Linked DNA regions of Astyanax mexicanus. The protein of the gene in region 2 interacts with the protein of the main gene of each other region in a biochemical or structural test. Links are inferred from orthologs where the notes say so. Each region holds a gene or a part of one and is shown on either strand. Other genes may lie near its edges. The genes, in order: smyd3 and map3k2.

Region 1 (13,055 bases), on a different chromosome or scaffold from region 2:
CTCTCTCTGTCTCTCTCTCTCTGTCTCTCTCTCTCTGTCTCTCTCTCTCTGTCTCTGTGGGGATAAGCTTTTCTTCAGCAGGGACAGATTTAGGAAGCTGGTCAGAGCTGATGGATGGAAGATGGATGGACATGGACAATAATTCGATATCGGTACTTATCGCGATAAGAAATGTTTCAATAACGGTGATATCAGTTTTGTGGTATATCGATATGTATTAGAATCACGGACAGGCGTCTTTTACTGGCGTCAGCTCGCCGCAGAGCTCAACACAGCCCCCGTAGCTGGGCTACGTCAGTGCGTGATGACGTAACCACACAGGCACGTAGCCAAATAGGCTAGGCTAGGCAAGGCTAGGTTAAAATGGCTAGGCTCGGGTCCGCTTCGCTACGCAGCAAAAATGTCTCGTGCTGGAGCCAAACGGAGCCGGGACGAGCGGATCCAAGGCTAAGGTAGACTCGGTTCGGTCGGCCCCGGATCCTCGAGGCCGGCCGCGGGTCCGCTCGCTCGGCCGCGGGTCCGCTCGCTCGGCAGAGGGTCCTCGAGGCCGGCCGCGGGTCCGCTCGCTCGGCCGTGGGTCCTCGAGGGTGGCCGCGAGTCCGCTCGCTCGGCCGTGGGTCCGCTCGCTCGGCCGTGGGTCCTCGAGGGCGGCCGCGGTTCCGCTCCCTTGCCGCTTTGCTGCAAATTGTGCCGGAGAGTGCAGCCGACCAGCAGCGGTAATGTTAATACATCTAATCTGTTCCACCACTTCAAGCAACTCCACTACATACAATATTTTTCTTATACTGACTGAAGCACTTTTATAGCTTATGTTGTAACTAAGTTATTCATAGTTGATAAAGCCTATAGGTTTGTTTATTTGACGGGAAAATCTTGTTGCTTTTATGTATATAAAGGCTTCTGGTATTCTATATCCTAGTTGAAACACTTTTGTTTTAATCTGTTAAATTTGTTCACAAAGAATAAGAAGCTCGGCCTCTGTTTTAATTTAAAGTTATTTTTATTGGTAATAGTTATATAGGCTTATGTTTGACAGGGATGTCATGTTATTATTTTGCTATATGCAAATAATATTGAGCATTGATTTATTTTGACTACTTTTATTTCTAAAGTATTAAAGTTTTTGTGAAAGGAGGTTTCAAAGGCTTAAATTAAATTTTCAGACAGTAGTAGGTACAGATTTCCGACAGACAGACAGACAGACAGACAGACAGATAGATAGATAGATAGATAGATGTGCATATAATGAGGGTATCTGATGCCAGCCATACAAAAAGTGCAAATACACAGTTACATAATAATTTAAATTCGCAGTGCTGCAGGGATTGCAGGGCTTCTTAGCAGTTTTCTGAGGCCTTCAAAGTATTTATATCGATATCGAAATTATATCGTATCGACCGAAATTTAAGGAATATATCGTGATATAAATTTTGGCCATATCGTCCAGCACTAGGACAGAGTCTCCATATGAGGCCAAAAAGTTCAACGTTTTAAAAAAATCATGGTGCAGAGATGTAGAAATATAATGTCCCCATATGAGGACGCAGGGTCTCAAGAGGATAATGATTTAGATCAGAGAATATTCATGTGTTAGAATGATCCAGTTAAAGTCCTAAAGACCTAAATCTCATTGATCTTCTGTGGAGAGACATGAAAACTGCTGTTCACAGACCAACACTCTCCATCCAACCTGACTGATCTTCAGCTGATTTATAAAGAAGAATGGAGGAAACATCTCTACAGTCTCTAGATGATCAAAGCTTGTAGAGATAAACCCTAAAAGACATGCAGCTGTAACTGCAGAGAAATATGAATCTACTAAGTATTGATTTGGCCAACACAGAGAAACAGCACCACCCTGTGGCCAGAGTGGAGAAATACACTCACACAAACAGTACAGGGTACTGTAGATGTTTCTAATAAAGTGTAGGGTGCAGTGCATGCTTTAAGGTGTAGTGGGAAGGGTGTAGTTATTATGCTTTAGGGTGTAGGGTAGAGTGATTATGGTGTAGGGTGCAGGGTGCAGGGTGTAGTGATTATGGTGTAGGGTGCAGTGTAGGCTTTAGGGTGTAGTGTGTAGTGTTTAAGGTGATTATGCAGTAGAATTTAGGGTGTAGTCTGTAAGGTTTAGGGTGTAGTCTGTAAGGTTTAGGGTGTAGTCTGTAAGGTTAAGGATGCAGTGTAAGGTGTAGTGTAGGGTTTAGGGTGATTGTGCAGTAGGGTGTAAGGTTTAGAGTTTAGGGTGTAGGGTGCAGTCTGTAAGGTTTAGGGTGTAGGGTGCAGTCTGTACAGTTTAGGGTGTACGGTGCAGTCTGTACGGTTTAGAGTTTAGGGTGTAGGGTGCAGTGTGTAAGGTTTAGGGTGTAGGGTGCAGTGTGTAAGGTTTAGGGTGTAGGGTGCAGTCTGTACGGTTTAGGGTGTAGGGTGCAGTCTGTAAGGTTTAGGGTTTGGGGAGCAGTCTGTACGGTTTAGGGTGTAGGGTGCAGTCTGTACGGTTTAGAGTGTAGGGTGCAGTCTGTAAGGTTTAGGGTTTAGGGTGCAGTCTGTACGGTTTAGGGTGTAGGGTGCAGTCTGTACGGTTTAGGGTTTAGGGTGCAGTCTGTACGGTTTAGAGTGTAGGGTGCAGTCTGTAAGGTTTAGGGTTTAGGGTGCAGTCTGTACGGTTTAGGGTGTAGGGTGCAGTCTGTACGGTTTAGAGTGTAGGGTGCAGTCTGTAAGGTTTAGGGTTTAGGGTGCAGTCTGTACGGTTTAGGGTGTAGGGTGCAGTCTGTACGGTTTAGGGTTTAGGGTGTAGGGTGCAGTCTGTAAGGTTTAGGGTGTAGGGTGCAGTCTGTAAGGTTTAGGGTGTAGGGTGTAGGGTGCAGTCTGTACGGTTTATGGTGTAGGGTGCAGTCTGTAAGGTTTAGGGTGTGAGGTGCAGTCTGTAAGGTTTAGGGTTTAGGGTGTAGGGTGCAGTCTGTAAGGTTAAGGGTGTAGGGTGCAGTCTGTACGGTTTAGGGTGTAGGGTGCAGTCTGTAAGGTTTAGGGTTTAGGGTGTAGGGTGCAGTCTGTACGGTTTAGGGTGTAGGGTGCAGTGTGTAAGGTTTAGGGTGTAGGGTGCAGTCTGTAAGGTTTAGGGTGTAGGGTGCAGTGTGTAAGGTTTAGGGTGTAGGGTGCAGTCTGTAAGGTTTAGAGTGTAGGGTGCAGTCTATAAGGTTAAGGGTGTAGGGTGCAGTCTGTAAGGTTTAGGGTGTAGGGTGCAGTCTGTAAGGTTTAGGGTGTAGGGTGCAGTCTGTAAGGTTTAGGGTGTAGGGTGCAGTGTGTAAGGTTTAGGGTGCAGTCTGTAAGGTTTAGCGTGCAGTCTGTAAGGTTAAGGGTGTAGGGTGCAGTCTGTAAGGTTTAGGGTGTAGGGTGCAGTCTGTAAGGTTTAGGGTGTAGGGTGCAGTCTATAAGGTTTAGGGTGTAGGGTGCAGTGTGTAAGGTTTAGGGTGCAGTCTGTAAGGTTTAGCGTGCAGTCTGTAAGGTTAAGGGTGTAGGGTGCAGTCTGTAAGGTTTAGGGTTTAGGGTGTAGGGTGCAGTCTGTAAGGTTTAGGGTGTAGGGTGCAGTGTGTAAGGTTTAGGGTGTAGGGTGCAGTCTGTAAGGTTTAGGGTGTAGGGTGCAGTCTATAAGGTTAAGGGTGTAGGGTGCAGTCTGTAAGGTTTAGGGTTTAGGGTGTAGGGTGCAGTCTGTAAGGTTTATGGTGTAGGGTGCAGTGTGTAAGGTTTAGGGTGCAGTCTGTAAGGTTTAGGGTTTAGGGTGCAGTCTGTAAGGTTTATGGTGTAGGGTGCAGTGTGTAAGGTTTAGGGTGCAGTCTGTAAGGTTTAGAGTGTAGGGTGCAGTGTGTAAGGTTTAGGGTGTAGGGTGCAGTGTGTAAGGTTTAGGGTGTAGGGTGCAGCCTGTAAGGTTTAGGGTGTAGGGTGCAGTGTGTAAGGTTTAGGGTGTAGGGTGCAGTCTGTAAGGTTTAGGGTGTAGGGTGCAGTCTGTAAGGTTTAGGGTGTAGGGTGCAGTGTGTAAGGTTTAGGGTGTAGGGTGCAGTCTGTAAGGTTTAGGGTGTAGGGTGCAGTCTGTAAGGTTTAGGGTGTAGGGTGCAGTGTGTAAGGTTTAGGGTGTAGGGTGCAGTGTGTAAGGTTTAGGGTGTAGGGTGCAGTGTGTAAGGTTTAGGGTGTAGAGTGCAGTCTGTAAGGTTTAGGGTGTAGGGTGCAGTCTGTAAGGTTTAGGGTGTAGGGTGCAGTGTGTAAGGTTTAGGGTGTAGGGTGCAGTCTGTAAGGTTTATGGTGTAGGGTGCAGTCTGTAAGGTTTAGGGTGTAGGGTGCAGTCTGTAAGGTTTAGGGTGTAGGGTGCAGTCTGTAAGGTTTAGGGTGTAGGGTGCAGTCTGTAAGGTTTAGGGTGTAGGGTGCAGTGTGTAAGGTTTAGGGTGTAGGGTGCAGTGTGTAAAGTTTATGGTGTAGGGTGCAGTCTGTAAGGTTTAGGGTGTAGGGTGCAGCCTGTAAGGTTTAGGGTGTAGGGTGCAGTCTGTAAGGTTTAGGGTGTAGGGTGCAGTCTGTAAGGTTTAGGGTGTAGGGTGCAGTCTGTAAGGTTTATGGTGTAGGGTGCAGTCTGTAAGGTTTAGGGTGTAGGGTGCAGTGTGTAAGGTTTAGGGTGTAGGGTGCAGTGTGTAAGGTTTAGGGTGTAGGGTGCAGTCTGTAAGGTTTAGAGTGTAGGGTGCAGTCTGTAAGGTTTATGGTGTAGGGTGCAGTCTGTAAGGTTTAGGGTGTAGGGTGCAGTCTGTAAGGTTTATGGTGTAGGGTGCAGTCTGTAAGGTTTATGGTGTAGGGTGCAATCTGTAAGGTTTATGGTGTAGGGTGCAGTCTGTAAGGTTTAGGGTGTAGGGTGCAGTCTGTAAGGTTTAGGGTGTAGGGTGCAGTCTGTAAGGTTTAGGGTGTAGGGTGCAGTCTGTAAGGTTTAGGGTGTAGGGTGCAGTGTGTATACAGTAGAATGGCACTGTGGATGTTTGTGTGTGTGTGTGTAATAAACTCACGTGCGGAAGCAGTTGTGGCACGCGGACTGCAGGAAGTTCCGCGCGACGCAGAATGTAAAGGGCGCGCAGCTCTGCAGATCAATGGCATCGCCTCCTTCATTCTCTTTGATCTGTATCACCGCTCCGGCTTTAATCTCACCGACCGCGCGCAGCCCGTTTCCCGCCCGCACGCTTATAAACCTCTCAGCACGCGCCGCCATCATCAACTCTCACTGAAACTGCAGCCCTTCAAAATAAGAGTCCCTCCCATGTTTCTATTGGACTCATCAGTGCAGTTATGTTAGAATTGGATATCCTCTTTATTCTCTGTTTATTAATGAGCAAAATCATCACATACATAAAAACATTATCAGAATGATCTGTTTCTAAATTAACCTTTATTTTCCCCGCTGATGTTGAGTGAATGGGAGAGGAAGACACGCCCACTATGCAAATAATTGGTGAAATAAGCCCATGCCAAAGGTGTGAGTTTGAACTGCACACAAAGTGTGTTTTACTAAAGTAGCTCAGCTAAATCACTGAGAAATATTAATGTTAGAAAAAATAATAAATAATCCAACATTACTGACTAACAGCTAAACTATCATTAAATTAGCATTAAAGTTTATACAATTACAAATAAAGTTTATTTCCCAAAGATCTATAAAATCATAATAGTAATTTATATAAACAAACTTTATGTACAGAGCAGAAACCCTGAGGTTAAAGGCTGATAATCATAATCTCTATCTAAAATCACAAAAAAATATTTATTGATTATTATTTATAGTGTGTGATTGTGAATACAAATAAACACCTGGCCAATCAAAACGAGGTATAACAGCAACCAGCTGACAGATAACACTGTGGGAAAAGTTTCTGATTGGCTAGCTAGTGACATGTGACCATCATCTTTTTTACTAAAAAATAAGGCAATTAGTCAATACTACTACTACTTATAATAACAACAATAATAATAATAATAATAATAATAATAATAATAACTGATCTTTAATGTCAAGTTTTAACCTGTGTGTAAACATAAATATTTATTATAAATCAGATAAAAGTGGATTTAATTATTGTATTTAAATTTTGAATCTCTGTAAAAAAAAAAAAAAAGAAAACAGCGCAGAATTTATTTATTTATTTATTTATTAGTCACACATGAAATATTTAATGAGCTTTAATATAAATGGAATAAAGAAGTTTCCGATTATTAAAGCTGATGTAGCTCCGCCCCCTGTGGGCGGTCCCTCGTTACCACGGCTCATCGGCGGTCATCATGCTGACGAAATCCCTGTAGAAGATCAGATTCTTCTCGGGATCCAGAGCAGCAGAGAGCATCTCCTCCATCTCCTCCTGAGAGAACGGATCTCCTGCAGGAACACAATAAAGGTGCTTGCACACTGCACGCGGTAGATGCGGCGCGGTACGCTGACCCCCATAGGATTCAATAGTGTCTAGAGCGGTAGAGCGGTGCGTCGCTGCCGCGGAGCAGAGCGGAAAGCGGCGCGTTTCCACGCCCATAACCACGCCTCCACCGCGCTACCGCTTACCGCGGGCAAAGTTCAACATGGTTCAACTTTGACCTCGCGGCAAGCGGTACCTCGGCAGAAAACGCATGACGTGAACTCACGCGACTAGAGAGAAACTGTAGTCCAAACAACAATAAACGTGCGCGAGAGACTAATAATAGCGATTAGTGAATCCCCTCAGCTGTACATCACTTCCCTACACTCATATAGAGATAACAGGAGGAAGAGAAGAATCAGAGCTTTGTTCTGAGGCTGAGAAACATATACAGATCCACAGAGGCTGTAGAGACTCAAAACTACAAAACACCGCTCACAGAGGTGATGGGTTTTAGAAAACTCCGCCTATTATCAGCAGGAGACGCTTGGCGTCAGCAGCAGCGCAACGCACCCGCAACTGACCAGCGTAGAGCAGAGCGGCAGCACAGCGGAATGCCGCGCGGCATACCGCGTTCAGTGTGCAAGCACCTTTACACCACCCTCAGCTCCGCCCACAGCACCACCCTCAGCTCCGCCCACAGCACCACCCTCATCTCCGCCTACAACACCGCCCTCAGCCCCGCCCACAACCCCAGCCCCACCCAGAACACCACCCTCAGCCCCACCCAGAACATCACCCTCAGCCCCGCCCACAACACCACCCTCATCTGCTCCATCTCTTCCTGAGAGAAAGGATCTCCTGCAGAAACAGCAGCACATCCATCAGCCCCGACCACAGCCCCGCCCTCAGCACCACCCACAACACCACCCTCAGCTCTGAGACTCGAAACACAGTCAGGAATTTCTAATTAATCTTCAGTAAACTTTACATATCTGATGATGTCACCGGCAGTGGGAGGAGCTAAAGTCTAAGTGCTGGATTTACCTTCCTGTGTTAAATATCTGCTGAGCTCCTCCGGATCCAGGTGTCCTTTCTTCTGCTGATCCAGAACCTGAAACACATTTATATTATTTATTATTATTTAATTTAACAACCAGATTCGCTCTATAAACACCTTTAGCACACAGTCCTGATCTCCCTCCTGATCTCCTGCTCTACAGGATTCAGACTGTGTGCTTTTGCACCGCTGAAGTTAAATTAATATCTGAACAAGATGAACGTAAGAGTTTCTGACCTCAAACGCCTGAAGCAGAAGATCCTCAGGAACGGGACGTAACCTGACAGAACAAATCAGAACCTCCAATCAGAACCTCCGATCAGAACCTCCAATCAGAACCTCCGATCAGAACCTCCAATCAGAACCTCCGATCAGAACCTCCAATCAGAACCTCCAATCAGAACCTCCAATCAGAACTTCCGATGAGAACCTCCGATCAGAACCTCCGATCAGAACCTCCGATCAGAACTTCCGATGAGAACCTCCGATCAGAATTTCTGATCAGAACCTCCAATCAGAACTGGAGTTTGAAATAATTCAGATTAATCAGTTCAGTGTAAACGCAGTGATCAAGAGTTACTTGTTCTCCATCAGGATTCGGGACATGGTCGGCAGGAACTTCTCAAAACGGATGAAGCCCGCTGGCTCCTCCTCCTCGATCTGTAACAACATTTCCAGCACTGCTCATTAAACCAGTCTATAAACGAGTATATAAACCAGTTTATAAACCTCTATATAACCCAGTCTATAACATATGAGCCAGTCTATAACATATAAATTAGCATATAAACCAGTCTATAAATCAGTATATAAACCAGTATAGAAATCAATCTAAACCACAGTATACAAACCAGTCTATAACATATAAACAAGTCTAAAAACCAGTATATAAACCAGTCTATAACCAAGTAAATAAATCAGTATACAAACCAGTCTATAAACCTCTATATAACCCAGTCTATAAACATATATATAACCCAGTCTATAAACCAGTATATAAACCTGTCTGTAACCTATAAACCAGTATATAACTTAGTATATAAACCAGTATAAAAGACACAGCCGCAGATTTAATATAATATGTCTGAAATATGTAAATGAGCTCTGACCTCAGCGATGACGTCATGCAGTTCAGCTTCGGTGGGAAATCGACCGAGAGAACGAATAATCGTCCCGATCTCCCTAAAAACAAACAAACAAACAAATCGGATCAGATTCATTACAGAACCCGATCAGAACTCAGAACTCTACATCACTATAATCTGCAGAATCAGAACCAACCTGACGTCCACAGTTTGATTCTGTTCATGATCAAAAACATCAAACGCGCTCCGGATCTTCTTCTGGACCTCCGACACACCTGAACACAATCAGAACCTCCTGATCAGAACCTTCAGAACCTCCTGAACTCTTAACTGGGACTAATGAGAGGGAGTCCATCTCTCCTGTACAGGACTTCCTGTACCGACTGTCGGTCAATTTATAATTAAAGTTTTAACAGCGTCTCCATCAGACCATCATCTCCGACCTTCTGCATCCATATTCAACCCGACGAGTCCTAAAAATCAGCAGCTCTTAGAGACGCTTAAACTCCTGAACTGAAGTCAGAAGATTACAGAGCTTTAACTGTGGAATAATCTGCATCTCCCTCCATCACTGTTTTAATACTAATCTAAAATCGTACCTGTACTCTCAGGACTTTCAGTGTGTTCAGTTCTGAGTGTCTGGGGTTAATCTGAATCTTGTTTCCTGATGCTACTTTTTTATTTATCTTATATCTTATTTGTTGTTTAGTTTTATATATTTAATTGTTCGTACTTCTGTATTGTACAGTACTTTGGTTGGTATTTGTGGTTTTTAAATTAGAAATACATTTGACTTGACTATTATATATTATATTTTATATATTTTCAAATGTACTAGCATTTTAGCAACTGTATGTGATACAGCTAGGTGGCAGCAAACACACGCACTTTAGAAATTTGGATAGAGTGCCAATTATACAGTATATTACATTTTTACAATTAAATATACAGGAGAATCGACACTGTATTGTAAATATAAAGGAAGTGCGTGTGTTTGCTGCCACCTAGCTGTATCATACACCGTTGCTGAAATGCTAGTAAATTTGTAAATATATAAAATATAATATATAATAGAGTTATAATACAGGATTTGTATAATATTAATGGGTGTGAATTTTCCCCATGATTCAAAGTGAACACCCCCGTTATTTAGATGTGTAAATCCTATAGATTTGGAGCTGTTGGTGTTTTTTTTTCTTATCTGGGAACATTAATAGGTGATTTTATGCACTAAAAGTGATTTAGAGGTGAATAAATGAGTGTGTACAGATGTAGAGAGGGTATAGAATTAGATGCATTTTATTCTAAATGGTAAAGTGCTTTCAGTTTTTTTATATTAATACTAAAAGTGCGTTGGGTAACTCTTTACTGTTACAGAGCAGTGTTATAGTGTTCCAGTGTTGCCAGATTATTGATCTTGTCGCTGGATTTAGAGAATGATTTATTTATTTTTATTTTTAAACGTAAGTAAATGAATCAGAGGAACGTGGATGTGTTTAAACAGCGCTGTTTCTCCTACTTTCTCTGCATCAGGTCACTGAAATAAAAACGCGTTAATATCTGGCAACCCAGCAGAGCCGCGCTGACAGTGACGCCGCGGTTCGAGATTAATCGGTAATTGGATTAATTGATTAATCGGTTTAAAGAGTTAATAAAGAGAACCCGATGTTTACCTGCAAGCGCGCGCTCCTCCGCCATTCCACCGCGGATCTGGTTGCTTAGATACGGACGCGCTGCTGGTAGCTGGGTTGCCAGATAGTGCAACCCCCCCAAACTCCGCCCACTAAACTACAATCAGCTCTAAATTCTGCACAACACAGAAAAGACTGAGTTTTATATAAAATCTGATTATAAATTAGATTATAGATTAAAGTAATAATGCAACTGTTCTAATATAAATCTTATATTTAAATTAAGCTTAATGAAATATGAAATGTACAGCCAAAACATTAAGACCACCTCCCCCCAATGCAGCTCAGATTACAGAACTGTGCAGGAGAAATCTCCAGATCTCCAGAAGATCAACACTGGAGCTTCATTACATTACTGTACTTAATTACATTACAGTACTTTATTACATTACTGTACTTAATTACATTACAGTACTTTATTACATGACATTACTTCATCACTGTTAAATATTCCTGAGCTGCTGCTGTTCTGGGATCAGTGGTGGGATCAGATGTTTCAGGATGTGGAAGCTAAAGTTCTTTAAGCTCCACATTTCAGTAAAAGTACAGAAGTATTTAACATTATTTGTATTTCAATACTGGAGTAGTTTACAGTAAAATGTACTGAAGTACTGAGAGTAAAGTACAGTACTGTGTTCTGTATTTATTACAGAAATCGATGTTTATTAAAGACGTTAATTAAAAACATTAAAAAATAAAACCCGGACACTGCAGACTATAAATATATACATTTATCACAAAATTACCATTTTCATATCCAAATAAAATATAAATAAAGGTATGTGAGGGTCCGCAGGTCTGGTGCATTGTGGGTAGTGTAGGCGTTTATTCCTCCAGCAGGATCTCCACCTCCTCCATCGGCGCTCGGAGCCGGAGCTCCTTCTCCACCAGCAGATCCAAAAACTCCTGAACCCGATCCGGAAACAACCGCACCGCGTCCATATACACACACTGCACAAACGCACACACATACACACACATTATATATATATACATATATATAAATAACACACACACACACACACACCATATATACACATATATATAAATAAAACACACACACAATACATATATATATATATATATATATATATATATATATATATATATATATATATATATATATACATATAAATAACACACACACACACACACACAATACATATATATAAATAACACATACAAACACACACCATATAAATATACACACACTATACGTATATATAGAGAGGGACTCACTTTAGCCCAGGGGACGTTCTGTAGAGCTTTATAGAAGATTCCTCTTCCTCTCTCTGTGTCCCCGTTACACACCTGCACACACCCACCATCATCACCATCATCACCATCATCACCATTATCACCATAATCACCATAATCACCATCACCACCATCACCATAATCACCATCGCCATCATCGCCATTATCGCCATAATCACCATTATCACTATCATCACTATCATCACTATCATCACCATAATCACCATCATTACCATCATTACCATCATTACCATCATCCCATTATCACCATCATCACCATCATCACTATCATCACCATAATCACCATTATTAGCATTATCACCATCATCACCATCATCACCATAATCACCATAATCACCATTATTAGCATTATCACCATCATCACCATTATCCCATTATCGCCATCATCGCCATCATCACCATTATCCCATTATCACCATCATCGCCATCATCACCATTATCCCATTATCACCATCATCACCATCATCACCATTATCCCATTATCACCATAATCACCATAATCACCATAATCACCATCATCCCATTATCACCATAATCACCATCATCCCATTATCACCATCATCACCATCATCACCATAATCACCATTATTAGCATTATCACCATCATCACCATCATCACCATTATCCCATTATCACCATCATCGCCATCATCACCATTATCCCATTATCACCATCATCGCCATTATCCCATTATCACCATAATCACCATCATCCCATTATCACCATAATCACCATAATCACCATAATCACCATCATCCCATTATCACCATCATCACCATCATCACCATAATCACCATTATTAGCATTATCACCATCATCACCATCATCACCATTATCCCATTATCACCATAATCACCATCATCCCATTATCACTATAATCACCATAATCACCATCATCCCATTATCACCATCATCACCATCATCACCATCATCCCATTATCACCATAATCACCATTATTAGCATTATCACCATAATCACCATTATTAGCATTATCACCATCATCACCATCATCCCATTATCACCACAATCACCACAATCACCATCATCCCATTATCACCATAATCACCATAATCACCATAATCACCATCATCCCATTATCACCATAATCACCATCACCACCATCACCATAATCACCATCGCCATCATCGCCATTATCGCCATAATCACTATCATCACTATCATCACCATAATCACCATCATTACCATTATCCCCATAATCACCATCATCCCATTATCACCATCATCACCATCATCACCATCATCCCATTATCACCATCATCCCATTATCACCATAATCACCATAATCAACATCACCATCACCACCATCATCACCATAGCCATCATCGCCATTATCACCATTATCACCATCATCACTATCATCACTATCATCACCATAATCACCATAATCACCATCGCCATTATCACTATCATCACTATCATCACCATAATCACCATCATTACCATTATCCCCATAATCGCCATAATCACCATCATCCCATTATCACCATCATCACCATCATCACCATCATCACTATCATCCCATTATCACCATAATCACCATAATCACCATCA
Region 2 (12,879 bases):
TAATGTATTCTTGAAATCAGTTCAGTGTTTTTTTATATTGCCAAGAGTATCGTTTTCGCCAAAATACCATGAAATATCGTGATCGTATCCCACCCCTACTTCCCACAGTCCCATTTCCACACCTTAAGCTGCCTGGTATAGAACAACAGCATGCAAACAATGTGCTGCAGTCATGGAAATAGGGGAATTGTCTATTTTTCTCCTAAACAGCTAATCACCGAGCTTCAGTAAGGTTTGCCAACCAAGCTAACAGAGTCATATAAAATCAGTTAGTTCATAATGTGCAATCAATAAAAACATTGAAGTGTAATATATATATATATATATATATATATATTCACGAAGAGGTAGAACACGTCATCGCTTGCCAGTGTGTGTCAATCTGGGAAACACCATAAGCTTCGTGTCTGGTGAGGGCTGGGTGCGCAAAAAGCTCTCTCCAGTGTTTTGAAATTGGACTGCTGTAGCCATTTCACAAGCTTGTTCTCATTTAATACATTAGTAGACTGTTCCTTTAAACAAAGGAAATTCAGTCTGTCATGAACTTAGATGCTGCTGTGTCTGCATCCATTGTTTTATATTAAAAGTCCTCTGCAGGGGTTTGTGATTGCATGGGCCACCACTAAAGAATACGTTCTAAATGTTTCATTTTGTACAGTTAGAGGCGAAAACAATCATATCAGTGCATTACAGGAAATAATAATTTTCCAGCATTTCAGGAATGTCTCTCCAGGCTTCAAAAACTTTATGAATTCATTGCATGTCCCGCAGTCAGATTCCTTTCTATTACAAATTAATCTAAGTAACAGTCATGCTTTTAAAAGTTGAAACCATTACCTCTTCTCTCCCCTGTACTCGAACTTTACTCGAACATCGTTCTGCAAGAAAGAAAGTGAGATTAACACGGTCCAAAACTTAGCATTACATCAACTGATGATTGTCACTGTGGACCCTAAATGACAATATTGTTTAAAGGCATGGAAACAAAAGCTTTATTCTGATACTTCTATACCTGTCTTTAATCATTTTTCCTAAACTAAATAGGAAACACATTCAATCATATGAAAAGCTGAAAGATTTCAAAGAAAAACTCAAAATGACCTGACCTGCATGTTTCATTGTTGCACAGTTACAGTTCATTTTTCATAATTAAAGAATAAAATTAACCAAAAAAAATTAAATAATTAAAATTAACCAAAAAAAGCACATACTATACAGCACATACAAGTTTTGCAGTGCCTTGCCGTAAAATTAACTAGATCTCTTATTTCTTTGATATTCCTTTAATAAAATCCATATTTTCTGTGTTTCAGCCCATTTGTGAAGCATAATTATATGAATGAATCTGAAACTTTTCTCCAGAAGTATGTTAGTGGCTCTCCAATGATGGCAATTATGTTTGGAAAATGACAACCATACAGAAAGAGCCAATAGTTTTTTTGAATGTCAGATAATGAACAGAAATGGTGTACGTAAAATGCACAGAAAAAAAATCTGTATTTGGCTGTATATATAAACACACATTTCCTGCCTGTATCTGAACAACCACAACAGTTGGGAAATCATTTGAGGCCAGGTTCCTAAAAACAACATACATCCTCCTATTATACATTAATCCTCGGATAACTGCAAAAAAAGTTTTAGGAGGTCATCGTGAAGCTTATTATTATACCTTTCAGAAGCAGAGATTAAATAAACAAATAACTAAACTTATAAGTTTTCTAACACTTCAGCGCACTGCATCAGCACTGTGTAAAATTGTTGCTTTTCGATACTGAATTTAATGGCTTTTAAATTTCCAAACAACCAATCTACAAGCAAAAGCCCTAGTTAAAGCTGGCAAAATTGTAAAATGTAACTTGACTTTTCACCACAACTTTTCCTGTTCTAACATCTGCAAAAACTAACGTGACACAAAAAAAAGCAAACGATGATCCGCATTATGCTAAAAGCTAACACTAGCCAACGCAATAGCCTTTTACCATCTCTTCCAGTTACCTGTGTCCACTCGCTCATAAACAGACAAGATGTCCTCAGCTAAACCAAGTAAAGGTACATTTCAGCTTATTATTTACTGGTAAAAACAAAAAGCCAACAGCACCACTAGCCCGCAAAACAAAATAAATAATTACAGTGTTGTTGTTACTGTGTAAAAACTATGCTACACTACAGAAGATCTGTAAGCTTTCACAATGCCACAAACCAGTAGTAAAATCTGTGTTATTTTTGTTTTTAAAGCCACCTGTAACCATCAGCTTTTAATTCTGATGTTAAATACCAGGGTGGTAAATAAGCTGGTAAGACCAAATCTGAACATTATGCACCCCAATAAAGTCACATGATTACCATCTGTACATGAAAAAAAAATTAGCCTAGACATGTGTTTAGACATTCAGCATTTCTAATGTAGCAACATAATTGTAACATCTGTATTATGTCGATGTCCTGCAGTCTTATACCCAGAATCTATATAGAAGTACAATGTACAATAGGGCTGGGCAATATATTGTCAATATCAATACACTTAAAATAATTTCCCACAAGCAATTTATTTCCAATTAAAATCTTACATGGGTGGTGTCTGGTGAAATCGAATAGTTTCAGGAGAAATGACAGACAATGAGCGGACATCATTATCCCATAAAACTGAGTAACAACAGCATTGTCATTATTTCTGTGCTAAAAATATACTACACTACAGAAGATTTGTGGGCCATCACAATGCCATAAACCAGCCAATAAAAGCTTTTTTTGCAAATGGCTCTGTTATTATTGATAGTCTGATGTAAAATAATAGGGTGGAAAACAAGCTGGTAGGACCACATCTAAACATTATGCACCCAGCCAAAGCCGCAGGCTTACCATTTGTGCATAAAAAAAACCACCTACAAATACTCTATGTGCATTTTCCAGCATTTTTACTACCAATAAATGTTTGTCCAATCATCCAGTGCAGTCTTCTAAATAAGTGAAATACTGAGATAAATATTTAGATATTTACTATTTAAATACATCATACATTTTATTTATGGTGTTACAAATAAATGTGGATACTTTAACATTTCACTTTTAGATTTCATCATATCATATCTCGTCATTTCCCTGCAACATGTTGAGATAAGAGTTTTTTTAGTCATATCGCCCAACCCTTATTTACAAGTTTACATGAGTCAATGTTGGAGGATCAGACTAAGATATCAGACCTGGTTCTTGGGAGACGAAGCCTTGGGTTTGCCCAGGTCAGACAGAGACATGGCTGGCCGGCTAGAGCGATGCAGCTCAACCAAGTCCTGCATGATCGAGTTTAGAACCTCTTGCTCGTCTGTCAGGACATATGGGTTTAAAACAGGTTTAAAACATGGACCATGTATAAGAATTTATAAAACCTTTGTACATCTTTTATCAGGAGACATAGGTTACATACCCATGATAACTGCTCACAGTCGGCCCCAGGAGTTCAGGATAGAGGATATCTCCCATTAAATGGGTTCCTTTCTCCTGTACATAGATATCACAACTATTTTGAGTGGGTGTCATTCATGTAGGCATTTCCTTTACATACAAACAACAATTGACAAAATACCATCTAACATCATAATCGTAATAATAAAATAATACTGTTACACAAACTGCATTTAAAAGTACAATAGTAAAGTAAATCACACATCGATCTCAGATATCATCACATTGGGGGGAAACTGGTGCTACTGGCGGGTCTGTCAGCTGTCAAAATCTGCTCTACCAATGATAGCTGGCTAGCTAGCTAGCTAACCTAGCAAGCTTGTTAGCTAGCTATAGTTTACTGTTTCAACATACAACAAACACAGTGTGTGTAGGCAGTGTGTGCGCTCACATAGCTAACCACTTATCTTCATTAGATAACGAGGCCACAAGATTCCTGATAACAATGGAAATAGTGTTTTACAAGCGGTCAAAATGGGGCTTATCAAAAAACATCTTCAGCAGTTGGAGGATGATGATGAAGAGAGCTAGCTAGCACGTCCGCTTTGCTTATAAGCTAACTAGCTAAACATTACTGCGGGTGAAAAACCAGCTGTTTTGGATATTTGTCTTTAACATAATAAAGACTGAAGCATTTTACATAGTATTTAATGGGACATATGCACACGACAATACAGGGGCCAACATGACATTATCTCGTTATTAGATAGGTTAGCTAAGTTAGCTAGCTAACAACAAGATTAGCTCGCTACACTGAAGGCGCGCTAGCCATACTGTCTATCTAGCTAGCTAGCTAATTAGCTGTTAGTTAGCTTAGTTAGCTAGACAGTCTGCTAGGTACCTTCCAAACTATTTAATTAGATAATAGAGCTGGCTAACCTTGTACGTTATAGTTATATTAAGACCAAGGAGAGACAGCTAACTAACTATCCAATTTGTGCAAATATAGCTAGCTAGGTTAGCTAACTATCTCACATTTAGAGCTAGAATGCCAGCACACAAACCTTCGTTCACTTCGCTGCTATTTTATATATGCTAACTTTTAGCTACTTGGCTAGCTAGCTAACATAAGCAGTGTCTGACAGGAGAATTTATTGCTAATAGACATCGACTGACAGCTAAAAGCCTTCAGAATCTAATAACTAGGATAAATAATCAATAACAGCAGAAAATAAGAGCTATTTGTCCTATTTCTCACCTGGGTGGTTCGTGTATCTTCACTTCCTCATCCGAAGGCCTTGGGAAGTGGGGGCCCTGCCCGACTTTAAGAACCTCCAAACCCGGCTTAAGAAGTTGTAAAGTCCGCATACAACTGCAACTTCAGTCCGAGGCCCCAGAGCACTAGCTCAGCTCCGCTAACCGCCGCCACTGCCGCCGCTGTCGATGCGCTACAGGCCGAGCGATTAATCACCGAACTCGCTTCACATTCAGGCCAAAAGCGTCGTATCCGCGAGGCCGTGCCGCAAATACAGACACACAGATAACCGTTTAACGGCGTGGTTTTGTTCATATGTAGAAACCGCAGGTATCAAACACGGCTCGACTGAAGACTAATCCCGGAGCGCCGCTCTCTCCCCCCCGCGCCGAGCCGCCGATGGACCAGTCCGATCCGCTACACACGATCAGCCTGTCAGAGAGACCTGCACTCTGTCTACAGTACGGAGACCACAGCAGGACACGGGGCTCAGAGTATGTATTTATTTACTGGGTCTGGAAGGCTACTGTTTTAATGCGATTTAATATTTAAAAAATGGAATAATCGAGATTGTACATCTTGACTTAGAACCTACTAGAGGGAATCTCAGAATATAGACAAGTTCTTCTGTCAGAAACCTGTAAACACCTCTTTTAAGTGGCAGTGATTTTCATATTTTTCATATTTTTCCACAAAAAAAAAAAAAAAAAAAACTAAATTAAATGTAAAAGAAAACAATAGCTTTACTTTAAATTATGCTGTCTGTTTCCAAATAAAAAACTGAAGGTGACCACATGGTCGAATCCTGATTATGTAACTTGCCATCAGCTGCCAGAGCAGGGTAGATGGGTGATGTTGATCAGCACAAGGCATCTGTGAGCTGATGTATCAGAACCGTGTTGCTGCGCTTTCCTCCGAGAACGCTGACGACTCTGCTTTGCTACATCAGCAGCAGTATGAAAAGATGCAGTGATTAGCTTCACATGTATCGGAGGAGGCATGTGCTAGCCTTCACCCTCCTGGTGTTGTGGCATGACTGTGATTGGGGATATACAGCTGACTAGCAGCTGAATAGGGGAAATGACTGGCCTATCTAAAATTGGGAGAACAATGGGAGAAAAGACTCAGCTTTTCAAAATAGGTTTTAAATGTGAATAAAAGAATCAGTATTAGAAACACTTAGATTTTTAATATTGATGCCAGTCACTTAAAAATAATTGTATTATTCACAACAGTATTATCCATGATTAACAATGGCTGAATCATGGATAAAATCATGATTTAATTTTTTAAAATGCTGGTACTTAATTGTATTTTTTGGACAAAAATAACTGTGTAATGTGGTTTACACCTGATAGACTAGATTTATTTTACTGGATTATAATATCTCAGGGTAGTTGTGGTGCTTTTTAAACAAAATTAATGTATTGAGTTTAAATGAGCGTTTTTGTGGAGGAAATAAATGCTAGATTAGCTGCATATTCCACACTCACCAGCTTGAAAAGAGGAAACGTGCCATCAGCTGTGTGTGTGTGACCACAGTAGTGTGTGAGAAATAGAGAGAGAGATAGAGAGTATCAACATCAGCACAAATAAAAGGGTAATCTACCTTCTGAACTCAACAGAAAGCTTTGCTGTGTTATATCTCTAAATAAAACTGCTAGTGCGTCATCAGGCTCTATCACATTTTGTCACAAGATTAATTATATGCTTTAAAAAAAAGTACGCATTACAGTTTCCAGACTAACTGTGTTTTAAGTGTGTTAATGCCAGACATCCCAAGTTGCAAAAGTTGATTTCAGGGAGGTTACCCTACTACCTTCAAAAAAAAACTTCACTTTTATATTAATTAATTTTTTTTATTTTATTTTATTAAATTTAGAGTATTCAGAGGTGAAATTAGTTTTATCTTTTTTTCTTTTTGGAAGGCCCTGCCTCTACTTTCCTTTTTTTTTTTTTTTTTTTGAAAAAAGGCCTTTATTTGACAAAAATGTACAGTTACAATATCACAAAAAATTGCACAACATCAAAAACATTTCATATCATATTACAACAATTATTAATATTGCCTCTGCCATGATCTGCTTTCTCTCACTCTCTGAACAAATCCCGTCCGGGAGGGGGGAAAAACACTGCCCGCCCACACTCAAACCTGATTGGCTGTCTCACAGACTCTTTGCAGAGAACAGGCCAATCAGAATCCTCTCTGTCTTCTTTCTGTCCTTCCCACACGCGATTAGAGAAAAAAAGTCTGTCGCCTGTGTGCGCGTTTGCGTGCAGTGCGCGTTTGGGGCACTCGTTCTGAATTGCGGGAGATTATATGTGACTCGCGGGCATCAGGGAGCCACTACCGAAATGCGGGAGACTCCCGCAGCTTTAGGGAGACTTGGTTTGTCTGTAATGCTGACAGCCCTAATTTATAAACATATTTTTTAATGTAAATAAATGGGTGGATGACTAGTAAAAATTCAAAATTCAAGCAAATAATCAAACTTAATAAATAATAAAATAAATAATCTAAATAAATAAATAAATAGATTAGAAAATAAGGTAGAATGCATTAACCCTGTAAAAAGTGCTTAACTCCAGTATACAGTCAAGGGTGTCTTGCTTGGTCAAAATGTACAGTATTAAAATAAATATGGCTGAATCTAAATGATTATTTGTATTAAATTCAAATTTAAAGTACATTTTCAATGTTTAGATGGGAAGAGAGGGTCATTGTGGGTTTCGTTGAAATTGGTGACTAGTGAACCTAAATAAATACAAAATAAATGCATAAAAATGCTATATATAAGAATGTTGTCCTTTTTGGACAAGCATGCTTGTTAGCCTGATCATTTTCATGATTTCCCTTTAATCATTAGTTGTTTAGATCAGCGATTTTTGTTAAATATATTAAATATCATAGCAGACGAACACAGTGATATTTCAAAAGTGAAATGAATTTTATAGGATTTAGAATAAGTGTGCAATAATTCTTTTTGCAAAATTAGGCAGGTGCATAAATTTGGGCACCCTTGTTGTTTTATTGATTTGAATACCTTTAACACTAATTATTGGAACACAAAAATTGTTTGGTAAGCTCATTGACTCTTGACCTAAATACACAAGTGAATCCAATTATAAGAAAGGTTTAAGGGGCTAATTGCAAGCTTTTCTCCTCTTTGCATCTTCTCTGAAGTGCGGCAATATGGGAGCCTCAAAACAAAACTCTCAAATGACCTGAAAACAAAGATGGTTCAACATCAGGGTTTAGGGGAAAGATTTTAGGTGTCAGTTCTAGTTATGAATCGAAGTGACAGACCAAGAAAATTCTGAGATGAGCAGAGGCGAAGGATGGTGAGAACAGTCAGTCAACCCACAGACATCCAGAGCTCCAAAAACCTACTTCATCATCTTTCTGCAGATGCTGTCACTGTGCATTGTTCAACTATTCAGTGCACTTTGCAGAAGGAGAGGTTGTATGGGAGAGAAATGCAGAAGAAGCTTTTCCTGAGCATGCACCACAAAGTTGGAGTTATTTGGCTGTGTAGTCAGTGCAGGTACTGTGAATCTTGTTAAAGTTGAGGGTCGCATTGATTCCAGTCAATATTAGCAGATTCTTGAAAACAATGTTCAAGAATCAATGACGAAGTTGAAGCTCAAAATCTACTAAAGCATTCACTTTCTCTATTTGCAAACCGTCTGTCTTACCATGGACACATGAACATCAAGGCTTTTAGAGATACTTCTGTAACCCTTTCCAGCTTCATACAAGTCAATAATTATACAACGTAGGTCTTCTGAGAGCTCTTTTGTGCTGAGAGGCATGATTCAAATCAAGCAATGCTTCTTAAGAACAGTAAACTCAAAACTGGTGTGTGCGTTTTTATTGGGCAGGGCAGCTTTAACCAACACATCCAATCTCATCACATTCACATCTGGCTCCAATTAGCTCTTAGAAAAGTCATTAGCCTAGGGGTTCACATACTTTTCCCCATCACTGTAAATGTTAACATGTTGTGTTCAGTAAAAATATGCAAACTTACATTTTTTGTGTGCTATTAGTTTAAGCAGACTGTGTTTGTCTGTTGTTGTAACTTAGATGAAGATCAGAACCCCTTTAATGACCAATTTATGCAGAAATCAAAGTAATTCCAAAGAGTTTACATGTTTTACTTGCAACTGTATAAGAGTGTTTAGTGTTTGAGATATGAGTGTATGACATTTTATTTAAACACAATGAAATAAAGAAATAAAAAGGCTGTAGAACTTGAAGCCATGTTAGAAACAGTCACCTTTATTATATTTTGTTTGTATAACAAAACTAAACTGTACTGCATGAATGAATAAAGAACAATGTAACACTATTAGCATGGATTTGTGTCACTTCAGTCAATGAATTTGATATAAAAACACTTTGAACATGATCAAATCAAAGCAATCCAGACTGTTCTCATACAGAGTTCCCCAATGGTGGAACAAACTACCTTCCACTACCAGATCAGGAGAATCTCTCACTATCTTTAAGAGACTCCTGAAGACAGAGCTCTTCAAATAGCACTTACTCTCTTAACACCTCTAACACACTAACTACTTCTAACCTCATTTCCTTCTTCCCCTCCTTCACTCCTCTATCCTATTATTCCCCTTTGACCTCCTTTTATCCCTATCCAAAGATGTTTTACCTTTAAACTCTTTTTACATTGTACTTGACTATTGTAAGTCGCTTTGGACAAAAGCGTCTGCCAAATGTAATGTAATGTAATGTAATGTAATGTAAAAATATATTTCAACAATACAATTAGGCACTAATTACACATTCAGTACTTCATGAGAAGTAAAAAACAATTAGTAAAGTTCAGTTAATCTGCAGACTTTTCTAAAGTAAAAAAGCAATATATCTTAGTATGTAATACAGACTTATTTATTTATAAAAGTGGTAGTGTTACATCACAACTATGCACAGTAGTACAAAACATCTTTTAAATCACATGAAAATGATAAATGAAAAAGTTGAAAATCACATTAGATATTTTAGATTCTCAAGAGCATTTTTTTTCAATATTGGTCCCTTGTAGACCCCACTCCAAACCCCTCTTTCCAATGCTTTACTAACACTGCTTGTAAAATCAAAAGGACAGTATATGCCATTTTTACATATATAGGTGAATTTGCATTAGTCATCAAAAATAGTATTTTCTTGAAATATTACGCTTGGGGAAAAACAATATAAAATGTAACATTTTAAACATAATTAATTCAACAATTGTAAGTATCATAAGGCTTTGTCCATCAGGCAGATTTAAGCCATTTAACTCACCACTCAGACTCAAAAGTGAGCCCCCCAAAAAAAGGCAACAAGAAAAAGGCACAGAGGCACAGTCCAAACTAGATCATACCCACATTAGTGGCTTGATCAGCGATAAGAAAATTGGTTTGGGAAGATTATTTTTAACTGGACATGAAAAGTGCAATCTAACATTCTCAATGCTTTAATACAAACACTACATTAAAATACATATGTACACATTCAAGGCAGGGGTCTACACACGGTCAACAAACTTGAGGTTGATTGATGATCCAGGACACAGCAGGCCATGGGTTTTGGCTCGGACATCACCGGTGAGTGGAGACACCTCGATGCGAAACTTCTGAAGGAGCTGCAAATAACAAAGGGGAGGAGTTAGTGACCACAAATACCTTAAACACATTTTATAGGTGTATGGAAAAGTGCAGTCTGCTTTACTAAGCTGTAAAATCAGACAGAGGCTGCTCTATAAAGCTTTAAAAGGGGCTGTTTTTAAATACATTTCATCCTGCAGCGGTGAGATTGTGCTGATTCAGGCTAGGTTTGTATGATTTTTTTGTTGTTGTAATTGAAAGCATCACAGGAAAGGGTTTGAATGTATGATTATGTGATTATGTGCTCTGAGTTATAAAACTAGCTCCTGTGTGTTTTTTCTTCTACAGGATCCAACCAATTTAACAACACATATGCTGGGATTAAAATGTTTTACATTCCATATAACTAGTTCTGAAACAATTTATATGCAATTTGTGTTACATCATAATTTTAACCTTAAAATATTTAGTCATGTGCTCAATCATGTTGGTTTTAATTAATCTTAGTGAGATAATTTAAATTCATTTGTAACTTTTTCAGCCAAAATTTTTTTAACTGTAGTCTGTTGCATAGTTGATTTAATCTCTGCTATGGTATAAAAGTCACAGTATTGGATTACCAAACAAAAAAAAAAAAACAAGCAGGTTCTGTCTCTGTGTTCAAACACACTCACACACACACACACTCACCTGGGTAAGACTCAAGTGCATCTCAAGTTCTGCTATTCTTCTGCCAACGCAGCTCCGGATGCCGTAGCCGAACGGGATGGAGCCGAAGTTGTCCACCCGATCCAAAGCGTCTTTCCGGAGCCAGCGGTCTGGACGGAATTCTTCTGCACTGGGGAAGTTTTCCTCATCCATAGAGGTGGAGTAATGACAAAGAGCCAATTGTGTCTGAGAGAGTAACAAAGAACAGAGCAGTGTTACAGTAGATCTTCACTCTGCAGCTAAAATCAATCAGCATTCGCCTTTTACTCCAGACTCCTGATCTGGCACATCAAAGCATTCTGAGACAAACTTATAGAAAAAAGACACACAGTGTCTAATCTTACCCCTTTAGGGATAAAGTAACCACCCACGATGAGGTCATCCTGTGTGACACGGCCATTGCCAGGAAGAACAGGGAAAAGCCTGCAGGTAAAGACAGAGAGTTATTTTATTAAAATGTTAAAATATAGAGAGCAATTACATCCAACAAACCCAGCCCACTATACATTAAATACACATTAATATACTATACATTGCAGGGAAGGGTTTTTTTGTGGACTCATAACCTAGGAGGCTTTAAAAAAAAGAAAATAAAGAAAAAAAAAAGGAAGGAAGCTAAATGCCATGTATTATTTATCTACAGCAACAAATTACTACTGTGTTTACACCGCTGCTGTAAATACAAAATCATGTTATGAGCACCCCCTCATGGACAGCTGAACACATGCATACCTAAGGGTTTCTTTGACCAGTCCTCTTATGAGTGGCAGCTGAGAAATATCATCAGCATGTGGGACCCGCCCACCCAGCACCTGGGTGATTTCCTCATAGATCTCCTGTTGCACTGTGGGATGTTTGGCCAGCAGGTATGTTGCCCATGATAACGTGAAGGAGGTCTGAAAAAAGGAGTAAACAAAAGATGGTTAATCTAAAAATGCTTTGATATACATATTAACTTAATCAAAATTAGTCAAAATCAAAATCAGTATACAGCTCTGTAAAAAAAAAAAAAAAAAAAAAAAAAAAAAAAGAGACCACTTGAAAATAAAAAATGATGAGTTTCATCAAACCAAGCTGAACTGCTTGAATTTGTGCCCCAGGAGTGGCATAAAGTTATTCAAAAACAGTGTGGACTGTTGGAGGAGCACATGCCAAGATGCATGAAAACTGTGATTAAAAAAACAAAAAAACGATTTCTCAACTTTTCTTTGCATTATTTGAGGTCCTAAAGCTCTGCACCTTTTTTTATTTCAGCCATTTCTCATTTTCTGTAAATAAATGCTCTAAATTACTATATTTTTATTTGGAATTTGGGAGAAATGTTGTTCGTAGTTTATAGAATAAAACAACAATGTTCATTTTACTTAAACATATACCTATAAACAGCTAAACCTTCAGAAGCTGAAGAGGTCTCTTAATTTTAACCAGAGCTGTACAAAACTAACTACATCAGGTGTGCAAACAGCCCAACAATTCAATTTAGCTTTATACCTTAAAACAAAAGTTGTGCCCTGACTAATAATATTATTAATGTTTTGGACTCAATCTTTATGAGGTAGTCCGAATTAAATCTCCTAATTTTTCTTAAGAGATACAATAGGGTAAAAAAAAAAAAGGACAGAAAGCTCTCCGTGGGGAGTTGAATGTTTCGGCCCCTTGCTGTGATTTGACCACTTGGGAAGAGTTCACAAGAAGTTCAAATAAGAAGGCTCTCCCCTTCTAACAAAGTCTCATTCACCCTCCTTCACTGCTGGAGAGCAAGAAGGTTTTGCACAAGCCTAAGAAGCCTGTAGCTGTTCAGTCTGTAGAAAAAGTGCTAGTTCGGAGTGTACAACTTCTTCAAACATTCTTACAAATTTTATTTTGTTGTTTTGTAGGATTTAATAACATCCTTACCGTGTCCACAC

The links.
Region 1: the proteins of map3k2 (region 2) and smyd3 are reported together in a solved structure, tested with the Homo sapiens proteins (2 studies listed by BioGRID and IntAct, with this or other methods). The link is inferred for Astyanax mexicanus from reciprocal best matches to the Homo sapiens genes MAP3K2 and SMYD3.

What each region holds. Positions count from the first base shown.
Region 1 is NC_064421.1:69,334-82,388, reverse strand, and holds the start of smyd3 (histone-lysine N-methyltransferase SMYD3), read right to left. Parts: upstream 5,285-13,055; 5' UTR 5,240-5,284; coding exon 5,037-5,239; intron 1-5,036. Other genes in the region: efcab2 (dynein regulatory complex protein 8), read right to left, coding at 6,276-6,394, 7,416-7,482, 7,666-7,708, 8,009-8,088, 8,538-8,610, 8,710-8,788, 10,187-10,211. UniProt on the Homo sapiens protein: Histone methyltransferase. Specifically methylates 'Lys-4' of histone H3, inducing di- and tri-methylation, but not monomethylation. Also methylates 'Lys-5' of histone H4.
Region 2 is NC_064412.1:37,841,341-37,854,219, forward strand, and holds the start of map3k2 (mitogen-activated protein kinase kinase kinase 2), read right to left. Parts: upstream 5,095-12,879; 5' UTR 4,661-5,094; intron 3,499-4,660; 5' UTR 3,429-3,498; coding exon 3,425-3,428; intron 3,323-3,424; coding exon 3,204-3,322; intron 879-3,203; coding exon 838-878; intron 1-837. Other genes in the region: cytochrome P450 27C1, read right to left, coding at 10,186-10,302, 10,955-11,158, 11,317-11,395, 11,705-11,868, 12,869-12,879. UniProt on the Homo sapiens protein: Component of a protein kinase signal transduction cascade. Regulates the JNK and ERK5 pathways by phosphorylating and activating MAP2K5 and MAP2K7. Plays a role in caveolae kiss-and-run dynamics.